Linked DNA regions of Saccharomyces cerevisiae S288C. The gene in region 3 interacts genetically with the main gene of each other region. Each region holds a gene or a part of one and is shown on either strand. Other genes may lie near its edges.

What was found. Genes that interact genetically often act in the same process or in processes that back each other up.
Region 1: mutations in PTP1 (region 3) and TRM11 together harm fitness more than expected from each alone (negative genetic interaction), as found in Saccharomyces cerevisiae (2 studies listed by BioGRID).
Region 2: mutations in PTP1 (region 3) and RME1 together harm fitness more than expected from each alone (negative genetic interaction), as found in Saccharomyces cerevisiae (2 studies listed by BioGRID).

The regions. Positions count from the first base shown.
Region 1 is NC_001147.6:84,956-89,235, reverse strand, and holds TRM11 (tRNA (guanine-N2-)-methyltransferase), read left to right. Parts: upstream 1-2,478; coding exon 2,479-3,780; downstream 3,781-4,280. Other genes in the region: HRP1 (Hrp1p), read right to left, coding at 1-1,392; TRM13 (tRNA:m4X modification enzyme), read right to left, coding at 3,972-4,280. UniProt on the Saccharomyces cerevisiae protein: Catalytic subunit of an S-adenosyl-L-methionine-dependent tRNA methyltransferase complex that mediates the methylation of the guanosine nucleotide at position 10 (m2G10) in tRNAs.
Region 2 is NC_001139.9:582,490-586,126, reverse strand, and holds RME1 (Rme1p), read left to right. Parts: upstream 1-2,234; coding exon 2,235-3,137; downstream 3,138-3,637. Other genes in the region: TAM41 (putative phosphatidate cytidylyltransferase), read right to left, coding at 75-1,232; YGR045C (uncharacterized protein), read left to right, coding at 1,831-2,193. UniProt on the Saccharomyces cerevisiae protein: Involved in the control of meiosis. Represses the transcription of the IME1 gene thereby inhibiting cells from entering meiosis. But also activates the CLN2 gene thus promoting mitosis.
Region 3 is NC_001136.10:39,115-44,207, reverse strand, and holds PTP1 (tyrosine protein phosphatase PTP1), read right to left. Parts: upstream 1,509-5,093; coding exon 501-1,508; downstream 1-500. Other genes in the region: Hsp70 family ATPase SSB1, read right to left, coding at 1-143; BRE4 (Bre4p), read left to right, coding at 1,964-5,093. UniProt on the Saccharomyces cerevisiae protein: Is not required for vegetative growth.

The DNA of each region.
Region 1 (4,280 bases), on a different chromosome or scaffold from region 3:
TGGCGGTGAACCAGAGTCAGTGTTTGATGTATTACCAATAGTTTGGACGTCATTGGATTTATTATTATCGGAATCAGAAGGTGCTGGGGAACCTTGAGTGGCATTTGAATCTTGCTGTGGTTGGTTTAAAGTCATTGCATTAGGTGGCATGGCAAACCCTGGCATCATCATTGCCATTTGCTGCATTTGTTGTTGGTACATTTGAGTATAATCCATACCAGTTTGCTTTTGCATTTGTTGGTAATATTCTTGCATCTTTTGATAGTAATCTGTCATTGCTTGCGGATTCATCATTGGGTTGTAACCGCCCATCATAGGGTTTTGATACATTTGGTTGAAATCGCCTTGGTTACCGAAGTTACCGCCACGACGATTCATGTTGTTTCCACCATTGTTACCACCATTGTTTGATGATTTTTGTTGCATATGTCTTGGCTCAGCTCTCTTGATTTCGATCTTGCGATCTTTGAAATCGATGAATTTATTCTGACAAACTCTGTCAACGGCGTCAGCGGAGTCATACGTCACAAAACCAAAACCTCTTGATTGACCGGTATCCTTATCTAACATCAGTTGCGCATCGATAATCGTACCCCACTGAGAAAAAAATTCTTCAAATTCCTTTGGTCTCACATCAGGACCAATACCACCAACAAAGATTTTACCGGTTTTATCTTGCTCGTCTCTTGGGATAGCTCTTTTTGGGTCGATAACTTTACCATCGAGGATATGTTGTGTCTTTACCACTTCATCAACACTAGAAGGTTTTTCAAAAGATAAGAAACCGAACCCTCTAGATCTACCTGTTGCAGGGTCTTTCATGATTTTCAAATCAGTGACGGTACCATACTTACCAAAATATTCGCGAAGATTATCTTCCGTAGTGTCCCAATTCAGACCACCAATGAACATCTTGCAACTTTCTTTAGACAAATCCGCTTTCGAACGTTCCTCTTTGGTTTGAGTTACTTGCTGTTGAGGTGGTGATTGAGAAGATGGTTGCTGGAATTGTGACATGGTTTGTTGAAGTTGTTCCCAAGGTAAGCCAGAAGGTCCTGCAGAACTAGCGTTGGCATTGGCATTTGCTGATGTAGCGCTTTCTTGTTTTTTTTCATTCTTAGTGTCTTCATTGGAACCTTCCTTGTCATTCGCAGTGCCATCTTGCTTACTAGAAGATGTGTCTTGGTTACTATTATTACTACTACTGTTGTTACTATTTGGATTATTTAGTTTGTTCAAGCTAGAAGATAATGCTTGTAGTGCGGCTAGTTGATCTAATTGCGAGGTACCACTGCCAGCCTTATTTTGTTCTTCTTCTTTTTTGACTTCTTCAGTAGTGGTAGGCTTATCATCGCCGTAGATGTCGTTGAAATCTTCTTCGTCAGAGCTCATTGCTTATTTAACTTATTCTCTATTTTCTCAGACTTGTGTATACTGCTAAAGTTCTTTATAAATAAAATATTTGCGTCTTTTATGAAAAGATTGTAATATAAACAGTAATATTAATACAGAATAAAAAAGGGCCAATTGTTTGTATTATGCACGCTTTTTCAATTTCTTGTTTATTGAGTATACCTTTTCTGTCCGTATTTTTTCTTTTTGTTTCTTTCGCAAAAAAGGTTAGAAAGAAATCTAGTAAGGTATGAGATTTTAGTTATTAAACACTAAAAAGTAAAAGATACACGTAAAAAATTTATAACAGTATATTGTACTAATACTTGACTATCTGCAAAATTAAATAACTAGTCGAAACTGTTCAATCCTTTGTTTTTAATTACAGTGGCGGAAAGGAGAGAGCGGAAGAAAATTTAAGAGCGCCTGGGCGTGTGGAAAGCATGCGCCTTTTATACTTTTTTTGCTTTGTCCAACAAGAAATCTCGGCGCTGCTCGTAGGGAGGGGCTGCAAGAAAAAAAATAAATAAAAAAAAGAAAGTATTTCCGGGTAAGATTAAAAATGCATTCGATTTAGCCGCCCAGTATTTCGCAAGATCTTCCAAGGTTATAGATGTTTAGAAGAGAAAGAAGTTGGGATCCTTAAGAGCATGTTTCTTTTTCCACGCATCTACATTAGGATTTACTCTTTGTTTTTCAACTTCTGCGCAAGATCTTCAAGAACAAATCGAAGAGATAAAAAAATTGATATTTATAGTCAATAGGTTTTCGATAGCATGACCCTCCGGACTTTTGATGGATAGATAAAGCGAAATTTAGAGGGTTTTTGATCTTCTTCCTTGCAGCAACCTATATTTCTTAGTATTTTGTATATCAATAGCCTCCATAATGTTATCTATAGCTATTAGTACTTTAAGAGACTTTTATTACCCGTATTTTGGATTCTTTTCCGAAGAAAAAAGAAATGTTTACGTTGTGGGAAAAGTGAAAAAAATCGATGATTATGGGCATCGAGGTCTTAATACCCGTAATATGGAGATGAAATAGCATAACTAAACACATTGTATATAAGGTAAAAACGGCAGCATGAAGAAATATCTGCTGTATATGGTACAAGTTCATTTGAACTTTAGAAGAGCAGAACTGGAATCGTTAGCAGACCTATATAATCTTTCCATAGACTTTTCGCAGTACGATGCCAATAGCCCTTTCTTTATTGTAGAGCTGGAAAATGATCAGCAAGCAAAGGATTGGATTAAGAGGTCTATTTTAACCAGAGGTATTTATGAGTATTGGGGGCAGGGTACAACGCTCGATGAGCTGCATAAAGATATTCAGCGTCAGTCTAACTTTGAACAGGATCTGCAATTGAAATTCAAACATTCCACTTTTAAGTTCGAATTCGAATGCTATAAAGGCAACAGTAAAGCTAAGAGGGTAGAGCAGATTGAAACTTTCCGTTACCTTGGCTTTGAAGGAAAGATTGATATGAAACATCCTCAAGAGGTTTTCACTGTTATAGAAGAGTACACACCAATATCGGAAAACGTTGGTGGTAAGACCCCCACCAGGATTTATTTTGGTAGGCAGGTTCAGATGAGCAATAGGAGTGCCATGGAGAAATATGATTTGAAGAAAAGACCTTATAAAGGTACAACTAGCTTCGAAGCAGAATTATCGTTGGTCAGCGCCAATATAGCTCAAGTGAAACCGGGAACTATAATGTACGACCCGTTTGCAGGTACAGGATCCTTTTTGGTAGCTGGTGGGCATTTTGGTTCTTTAGTGATTGGTTCGGATATAGATGGCAGAATGATTCGTGGTAAGGGTGCTCAAGTGAACATTTCGGCCAACTTCAAAAAATATGGCGAGAGTTCTCAATTCCTCGACGTGTTGACCATGGACTTTACAAATAACGCATTAAGAAACAATCTTGTCATTGATACTATTTTGTGTGATCCTCCATATGGTATCAGAGAAAGCATAAAAGTCCTAGGTGCTAAGGATCCAGAAAGATTTCTAGGCAAGGAAGATATGGAAATTGACGGTGAAAAGGCATATTTGCGTCGCGATTATATTCCAACCAAAAAACCGTATGCTCTAGATTCATTACTGGATGATCTTTTACAATACTCTTCCGAAAGATTACCGATTGGCGGAAGATTAGCCTTCTGGATGCCCACTGCAAACGACGCCAATATTGAAACTATTGTCCCAATGCACGAAAATCTAGAGCTAAAATACAACTGCGTTCAAGAATTCAATAAATGGTCAAGGAGACTACTGGTTTATATTAATAGGGGTAGCACTTTCAATGGATCAAGTAATCATGGCATAAAACGTTCAAAAGATAATTTCAGGGAGCGGTACTTCAATAATTTTAACTGAAATGATGCATAAGCCCTTTGTAATTTTAAGATATATTTACTTACTCTTTCTCTTAAAGAAAAAAAAAAAAAAAGAAGAACAATTTATCTATACCTATATTTATGTTTATGTTCCATCATGTAGAAAAGTTTCATTTAAAATTAATAGCCCGTCAAAAATACAAGTGAAAAAAAATAAAAATTAAAAGCTCTCTATTTCTTATAAACTAACATAGCAACGTTCTCTAAAGAAACATCGGATTCTACGTACCTTATCAGCTCCGCATTAAACTCTGTAAACTTTTCTTTCACATATACCAACCTGCCCTCGTCGATTACACGCCTAGCCATTAATCCAATATTTTCTCTCTCTTTAATGGTTATTGTATATGGCTCAGCCCCTTCAAACGATTCGACAACGTTTACTATATCTGTAATAGCCGTACCTGGTTTCCTTCCGCAGGTACCCCATGAACAGAGTTTAGTTAAAACGCGGAAAAAGGTTTCGTACGTCAAGATGGA
Region 2 (3,637 bases), on a different chromosome or scaffold from region 3:
CGATTCTTCGAAAGAGATGAAAGGACGATAAAACATTTTTGATAAAAGATAATGTGTAGATAACATTGGATACACTAGCTTCTCCTCATCGATTTTAGTTTTTTGGCCCAAGCATACTTAATTGACTTTGTGATTCCAGCTGTGAAAACACCTTTAATAGTTTGTAATGCACTTGATTTACTAATACGGCTGAGCAAAAGTCTCTGAGTATTCTTTAATGTGAACCCTTTTGGAAGATAAAATGAATCATTTAGGACCACTTCTTTGTAAATCGGCTTGTAATACTCTTGAAATCTTTCAAAGTTTTTGGTAACAATGTTGTTAACTTTGTCGGGATTTTCTCCACCCAGTTTGTATCTAATATCACCTGCATAACTTAAGGCAGTGATCTCCTTGTAAAATTGGAATTCGTCAAACTTATTGTTATTTTTCTCTAAGGTGTAATGTTTGGCCAAAGTAGCTGCAGCTTTTAAGTTTAATTGGTTCCAATATTGCACTCTCAAATCATTCTTCAATATTTTTACAGGCTTTTGTAGTCGTCCTGCTAAATAGAATGTATTCCAAGTAGCTATGTCCTTTAAAAGTGTTTCCATAGAAACCACCCCATATTTTACGTCGTGTCCATTTATATTTGCAAATGGATTAAAATATACGCCTGCGCCGATCTGTTGAAATTTAGACACGAACTCGGAACCGAAGTATTTCAAACTTGAATAATGTTGCGGATTCTGCCTCATATTAATAGAGTGAAAATGTGATGGATATGTGACGCCCAAGATTATATCGATTTGAGGTTTGCTATGACTTTTGGAATATCCCGCTTGTTCGAAAACTCCTGAGCCGTAACCAAATACAAACCGGCACGGAGCTTTGAAGGATGACATTACCCCATCCAGTTCCTTTTGAAGTTCCTTATCGATAGTAATGAGCTGGTTACTTCCATAGTTGGGGGGCAATCTGTGAAACTTGTACATATAATTTGTAAAATTGGAAGTCATTTCGTCAGTTTTTCTTATACCTTTTTCCAAGAGGTCCAGATCACTGCCTTTAGTAATTCCCTCGATGTAGTGATTCGGCCTTTCGTTAATAGTTCCATCGGGGATAATGCCAGCATCATCTATGGAACTTCTCCCCTCCTTTATTTGAGTACTCAGAAGCCTATTAAACATGCTTACGTTCGTTGAATGGCATTTCAGCAGAAACCGTAGACCATTTTCAGAAACTCGTAACATAACTTCAGGATATATCAAAGTAAAAAGCAGCTCCTATTAATTCAAATTATTAGCTCAATCCTATAGCAACGTTTCTCAAGTTTAATTGTTTTGAAGGTTTTAGAACCTTTTTCACATTATTTAGTCCGTCGAAACATCTACTCTTTACTATTTATGGCTAAACAGGCTGAAGGGTATGATTTCTTTTCTTTTCTTTATTCATGTCGGGTAAGAGAAGGTCACTTGACCTATGATGTGGGGGCAAATAATAACGTGGGAATAACAAGCGCGCTACTGGTAAGTGAAAAACTAAGATAACAGTTGAATTTCGTGTTTAGATGCTATAGAGAGTCTGGTACAGCATTGGCGATTTAAGACTTCTCTAGTCCACATTTCTTAAATTCAAAATCACAAGCGCCTGTTAACGATCATTTTATAATCTACGATGTGTAAATGCAAAAAGTGCTTTCCTCCCTCTTTAGTTTGGACAGGGATAGTGGGTAAACGAGTAGCATTATGAGTGCATACATTGCCAGAAAGAAACCGCAAAGCGGCATATCTTTTTTCTTCTTTCTGTTGTAAGGGATGCTTCGTCACGTAAAATGGCCGCCGGAGTGAGATGTCACAGATTACATCAAAAGGTCGGCGTATACTGGATAAGAAAATCCGAACTTTTCCGGTGGGCTTTACCAGCAGAAAAGTGGCCGGGCATGTATTAAATATATCACCGTATTTTCTGCTGGCTTTTTCTTATGCAGAGAACAAAGGCCAGAGTGCCTTCGAGGAAATTAAAGGGAGCAATGTGATAGATATGTCCTGTGTCATTTGCTTCAATTTTTCCTGCCATTTATTTGTAGTTATATTTATATCTAGATCAACCGAAACTATACCAACGACGAAGCTGCTTCTTAGTAAATATATTTTCTACTGTGTCAACGCATTGGAACTGACATTGTTCTTATCCTATAAGTCATACAGTTGAATTTGTTAATTCTTTACTAGAAGTTGGGATTTTCAGCACTTATGTCACCGTGTTATGGACAAAACAGTGCCATCGCCAAGGGGTCTTGGAACAGAGAGGTTTTACAAGAGGTGCAACCGATTTATCATTGGCACGATTTCGGGCAAAACATGAAAGAATATTCGGCATCACCCTTAGAGGGGGATTCCAGCCTGCCTTCCAGCCTGCCTTCCAGCACTGAGGACTGTTTACTACTATCATTAGAAAACACAATCACAGTTATAGCCGGAAATCAGAGACAGGCTTATGACTCTACGTCGTCTACTGAGGAAGGTACAGCACCTCAATTACGGCCGGATGAAATAGCGGACAGTACACACTGTATCACGTCATTAGTTGATCCGGAGTTCAGAGATCTTATTAATTATGGACGTCAAAAAGGAGCAAATCCTGTATTTATTGAGAGCAATACAACAGAACAATCCCATTCACAGTGTATTCTAGGCTATCCCCAAAAATCGCACGTGGCACAGCTATATCACGACCCCAAAGTACTCAGCACAATTTCCGAAGGGCAAACAAAAAGAGGAAGTTACCACTGTTCTCATTGTTCTGAAAAGTTCGCAACGTTAGTTGAGTTTGCCGCGCACTTAGACGAATTCAACCTTGAAAGACCGTGTAAGTGTCCCATAGAGCAATGTCCCTGGAAAATATTGGGTTTCCAACAAGCAACTGGTCTGAGAAGACATTGTGCTTCCCAACATATAGGAGAGCTTGATATAGAGATGGAGAAATCATTAAATCTAAAAGTAGAAAAATATCCAGGACTGAATTGCCCATTTCCTATCTGTCAGAAAACGTTTAGGCGCAAAGACGCCTATAAGAGACATGTGGCCATGGTGCATAACAACGCTGATTCAAGATTTAACAAGCGTTTGAAGAAAATTTTGAACAATACCAAATAGTTGAGGCATTAAAAATGTACCCCATGAAACTCTTGTTAAATTTGTGCAGGCATGAAAGCTACTGTATTTTTTCTTAAAGTAATAAAAATAAAACACAATGATATTAAAGAAAACGCATGCAACTATGGACACTTGCTATGTCGTGAATATGGCACCACGTTGGTTACTTAGCTAAATAAAAAATCGTAAGTACTCGCATTTTTTCTTCTATATTCACTTTGCTTCTTTGGACAGTTATTTCAATAATAAATATTTCTTTTTTTCTAATCTCCCTTATCACCTAAGAGGAAAAAGTTTGAAAATAAACTTATGGCTAGAGGTTATTTGGTATTCCGAGAAAACATTTGAAACTAGGAAGTTTACATATCAGTGCAATTATGTTTCCTTCGATGATTCACGTACCCTCAAAGTCAGTACCATAAAATTGAAAATAAGACAGGTGTTTTTTTTTTTTTTTTTAATCATACAAGAATTCAACCACTTAAGTAGGATATTAGCGC
Region 3 (5,093 bases):
GGAGTGAAAGCAACGAAAGATGGGGTGACTCTGTTACCTTGTTCGTTGGCAATAATTTCAACGGAGGATTCGTAAGTAGCAACACAAGAGTAGGTTGTACCTAAATCGATACCGATAGCACCTTGGAAAACACCTTCAGCCATTTTGTTCAATTAAAATACTGTAATGATCTTGGGACATCTGAAAATCCAAAAGCAAGAAACATTTTTTAAAGAAGGAAAAGCAAAGCGACAATAACTAATTAATCTTTATATAAAAAGAGATGAGTACTACAAAAGAAACGTCGAGCGAAGATGAAAAATTTTTCTTTTTTTTTTTTTCAGTTGCGTGCTATAAAAAAAAAAAAAAAAAGATTCATCCATACTTCCCGTTCGAAATGATCATAAATAACTGCGGTGTATGGGCTATGTTCCCATGACAACGAAGCTAGAATATAATTATAAGGATGAATAAGTATTGTTATTGAAAAAATGCACAATTAGGAACTTTTATATAGCTGTCTATTGGTTCACGGAAAGACTGTTAAGATACTTGGCAGCATGGTAGATAAATAGGAACTGATCCTTTGTCTGAACCATTTTCATTCTTTGCGAGCGCAACTGTAACACGATCTGTTCGATCAAGTCCCGTGTGTACTCCTCTGTAGCCCTGTCTGAATGCCTTGACCGTTCTGTAATATTTTTAAAATCCAAGGTATCATGCATGAGATGATCTAGGGCAATGAACGTCCCCGTTCTGCCCACGCCTGCGGAACAGTGTACGATAATGGGGTTCCCGCGGGAATTCAAGCTGTGGGAGTGAGCGCATAATTCCATTATGGGTACTACTTCCTCTGGCTTGTTCATATCTTTCCAAAGGTCGAAGTAAAAGTGGTGAACAGTTTTGACAGGTCCTACAAGAGGGTCCGTGGGTGTGAGTTTGATATCGGTGACCGTATAATAGTCCTTCACCTTATGTACGTTAACAAACTCTATTTTCAAATCAGAGGGAAATTGAGTCATATCATTGGCGCCGCCCGGACTTTCCCATTTTGATGCTATTCTAACCGTATCGTCTACACCACCGCGAGGCCAGTACTGGTAGCACTTCTCCCTATTGTATTCTACCAGAGGCGTGACCATCACAATGACAATATTGTCTAAAGGACAATTGTGATAGCACATTTGCCAAAACTGATCCCAAGTTTTACGCGTGGGACCTTGAGTAGCAATATAGTAGCCCGGTTCGATGCTCTGCCCTGGCACGTTCACTTTGACATACGAGGCATTAATGTAATCATTCCCGGATAGAGTCTTCAAATGAACGCGGTTCCTCTCATACGGCATAATGTTAACGTATCTGTTTCTAGCATCGTTACGAGGTTCTATGCTGACCCCCAACGACCATCGTGAATTCACCGTTCCGTTTGTAGCTTCCCTTAATCTGCCGTCTTCTTGATTCTGTATGAACTTGAATTTACCCAATAAATCCGTGTCACGCTGTCTAATATACCATGGTGCAGCTGCCATCTCCACTGTCGCAAACTACTACTAACAAACGCTTTTCTTGATAACTCCTCGATGAACCCTTTTCCTCAATAAAATGTAAATATAGTTTGCCTTCCTCTTAATAGTGTGTACAAATGAATTTTTCTAATACTAAACGCCCTAAAAATGACCTAATTAAATATTACGTTAACCTAAAAAAGTACAAAGAAAAAAATGGAACACCTACAAATTATAAACAATAACCCTGTCGCCCAAAGTTAGGTTTCCGATAAGACTTTTCAGTGAACAAAATCTGGAAATGAAAGGCGATATAACATTATCAAAGATGATTATGTATAGATTGCGTGAAATACGCGCAGGAAAACGAGTTTAAGCGTCACTAACACTTTAATCAATTTAAAGTTCATTTTTAACTTGCTTTGTGCTCCACTAAGGAAAGCATGTACAGTATAGTGCTGGAATTGTAACAGGTCCTCATGAAAAGATATGAGCGAGATCGAAGTCCCACTCCTGATCCTGATATTGTGAAAGGTTCATACTCTCAAACATCACTCAGGTCACTACATGAACTTAACTATAAGAATCCTGCCGGTATAAGCGGGCTTAGCTTTGCAGGAAGCCCACAACAATCCGTGGCATCCTTATCGCAAATGCGGCTGGAAAATTTGGTTAAGGACAAACACTGGGAGGAAGTAGAGGACTTTGGGCTGGAAGAGCTGAGAGATGGGTTTTTTGATGCTGCTTTTACCAAGCCGGACAGCAAAGCTAGGTCTCCTAACAGCGACATCGATGACGACAATGGCGCTGCAAGGAAAAAACTGCAATCTGGTTTTACCAAGCTTTCCGAATATGTTTGGACTGCTATCTACAGGCCCATTATTCATTTCCCTAGAGATATTAGAAAAAATGGGGTATCCATATTCAAGTTTTTTATTGCTTATTTCATTGCTATCGTGATTTGCGTTATCAGGCCTTCTGGTAGGTGGATTGGCCATGAGTTCAGGTATTTTCTACCCATCGCAGTACTTATACATCATCCGGTCAGAAATATTGGTGTTCAACTGGAAATGACTATAAGCTCCATTATCGGCGCAAGTTTTGGCCTGGGATGGTCGGCTTTGGCATGGTACATTTCCACAGCGACAAAGCCGACCGCAAACTACCAGGGAGGAATTTTATTTCAGAGTCTGACTATGGCCCTCTTATTTGCCATCTGGCTAAGGTCTGTTTACCGTCGGTTCTTCTATTTCACAACTTCGTTTTCGATATCGATTATATTCACTCATACAGTTCGGTTGGCCTCATCCAAGTTTGATTTGAAGTGGCAAATTTTTTGGGATTTTGGAATCTCATATCTCTTCGGCCTTTTGCTATCTCTCTTGGTTTGTGTATGTGTATCACCACATAGTGGCAATGCAGAGTTAATGGAACATTATAACAAGTGTCTACAGACCACAAAGACCTTTTTAATGGCACTAGTAGATACTGAATTAATAAAGTCCAAAGAACAAATTTACCTAGCCCAAGTAAAAATGGTGAAAACACTAAACATTGATTTATCTCAAGGTTTTAGAGATTTTGTAAATCAGTTGACAATTTCCAGGTTTGACCTTCAATCGTTGAAGAGTTTAAGAAATTCTTTAACTGCCATGGAAACTTCTCTGAGAGTATTACCCATTGCACCCAAAATTTTTAATGATGATGAATTGAAAAAGATGTATGAAGAATTGGAGAAGTATAGATCGGATTCTGCGACCCTGAGCAAAGAAGCAAGCGCTAGCCCTCAATCTTCAGGAATTCCAACAAGAGAAAACACGCCCAGTGCCTTTAAGCCTATCGGTCCGGGGCTTTTAAAAAATGAAATCTACATTAATGCATTAAAGGCGTCCTTCTCGAAAAGCATCTTCAACTTAATACTGGAAATGATCTTCGTTTTGGAAAATCTATCAAGAGTACTAAAGAAATACGAGTCTCCAAATCAAAAAAACAACTTAGATGAGTGTGTCAAAATATTAAGTCACTCGCATTCTAAATTAAAGAGGAAAATTTACAAACTAGATGTTTGTTACAGGGATTTTGTGAATTCTAGTTTTTTTTCACAGGAACTGTTGAATGACGAAGAGTCTGTCGATATTTTCCTTTTTCTAAGATATTTGAGAAACTCCGCAAGGCAGCTAGTTACTGTTATCCACGATTGCCAAGTTTTGGGTGAGAATATTCACTGGAGAATTGCTCTGCCATCATATCCACTGTCTCGTGCGTTGACAAGATTGCCCAAACAATGTGTTCTCGATGAAGGTGCAGGAAATGTTCTTCATTATTTTGAGGCCAAACGTGATGTCGATGAAATTTTTGAAAGAGTTTATAACACCTACACGTCAAGACACAAGTATAACAAAGGCGAAGAAGAAGCGCTGAGACTTGATTCACAAGGTGGTGACGAAAAGTCACAGAATCGCAAAAACCACACTATTTCCATCAGAGCAATTGATCACAACGACTTCAATTTTCATACAACTCAAAATCCTTGGAGATTTAAACTATGGAAATTGAGTAGAATTTTATCTGGTGATGAATGTAAGTGGACACTAAAGATTACTTTTTGTATGATATTTTTGTGTCTACCAACTTGGCTACCTGAATCCTATCACTGGTACCAAGAATTTCATTGTTGGTGGGCCCCACTCACGTTTTACTTATTAGCACATAGAAGATACTCTGGTAACTGGGCGTTGGTAATGAGGAGATTAATCTGTGGTATAGTAGGTATCTTTTGGGGGTGGGCTGCCAACCAATCGAGACATTTTGGTAGTCCATACGTGGTTTGCACGTTTGCTGGTCTGATCGTGGTCCCATTTAGCATCAACTTTCTTGTCTATAGAAACACCAAATCGAGCTTCACTGCATTAATGTGCTTTACCATAATTGCTCTTGAACCATACAGCAAACCTAATAGACATTATAACTTAACCACCGCTGGAATATGGAAATCTACGTGGGTTACAGGCTTGGCACTTATTATCGGTATTTTGGTTTCGATTCCCATCAACTGGATAGTGTGGCCCTTTAGAGCTAGGACAGAACTAAGAGATAGTATGTCATCATTACTGGCACACTTGGGCCAGTCCTACCAAACCGTGGCGGACCGGTATTTATACAGGGATGCCGACGACGCACCTACTGATTTAACTTTCGCATTTTCCCACATTCGTGAAGTTAGACTGACTCAAAGTCTTGAAGCAATCAGGGAACTTTTGAAGAAAGCCCGTCATGAGCCAATCATTATTTCCAACTTCAATCCTGAGAAGTACGCAAGTCTAATCAATTCATGCCAATTTTTGTTATCTAAGATCATTGAAGCGAGAATTTCAGGTGCATTTTTTGAAATTTGGGATCAGGATTTTGATATTGAAACCACGAGAGCCTTACTATCGCTACGAAGAGATAGTGTCTCATCAGTGATTTTCGTTTTTTACATTTTATCCAATTGTTTCAGATCAAAAAACAAGATACCGCGATACTTGCCAAATCCAATTATGTCACGTAAAAAACTTTACCACTTCATCAAGAAATTTAGTGAAATGAAGGACCAATCACATTCGAATT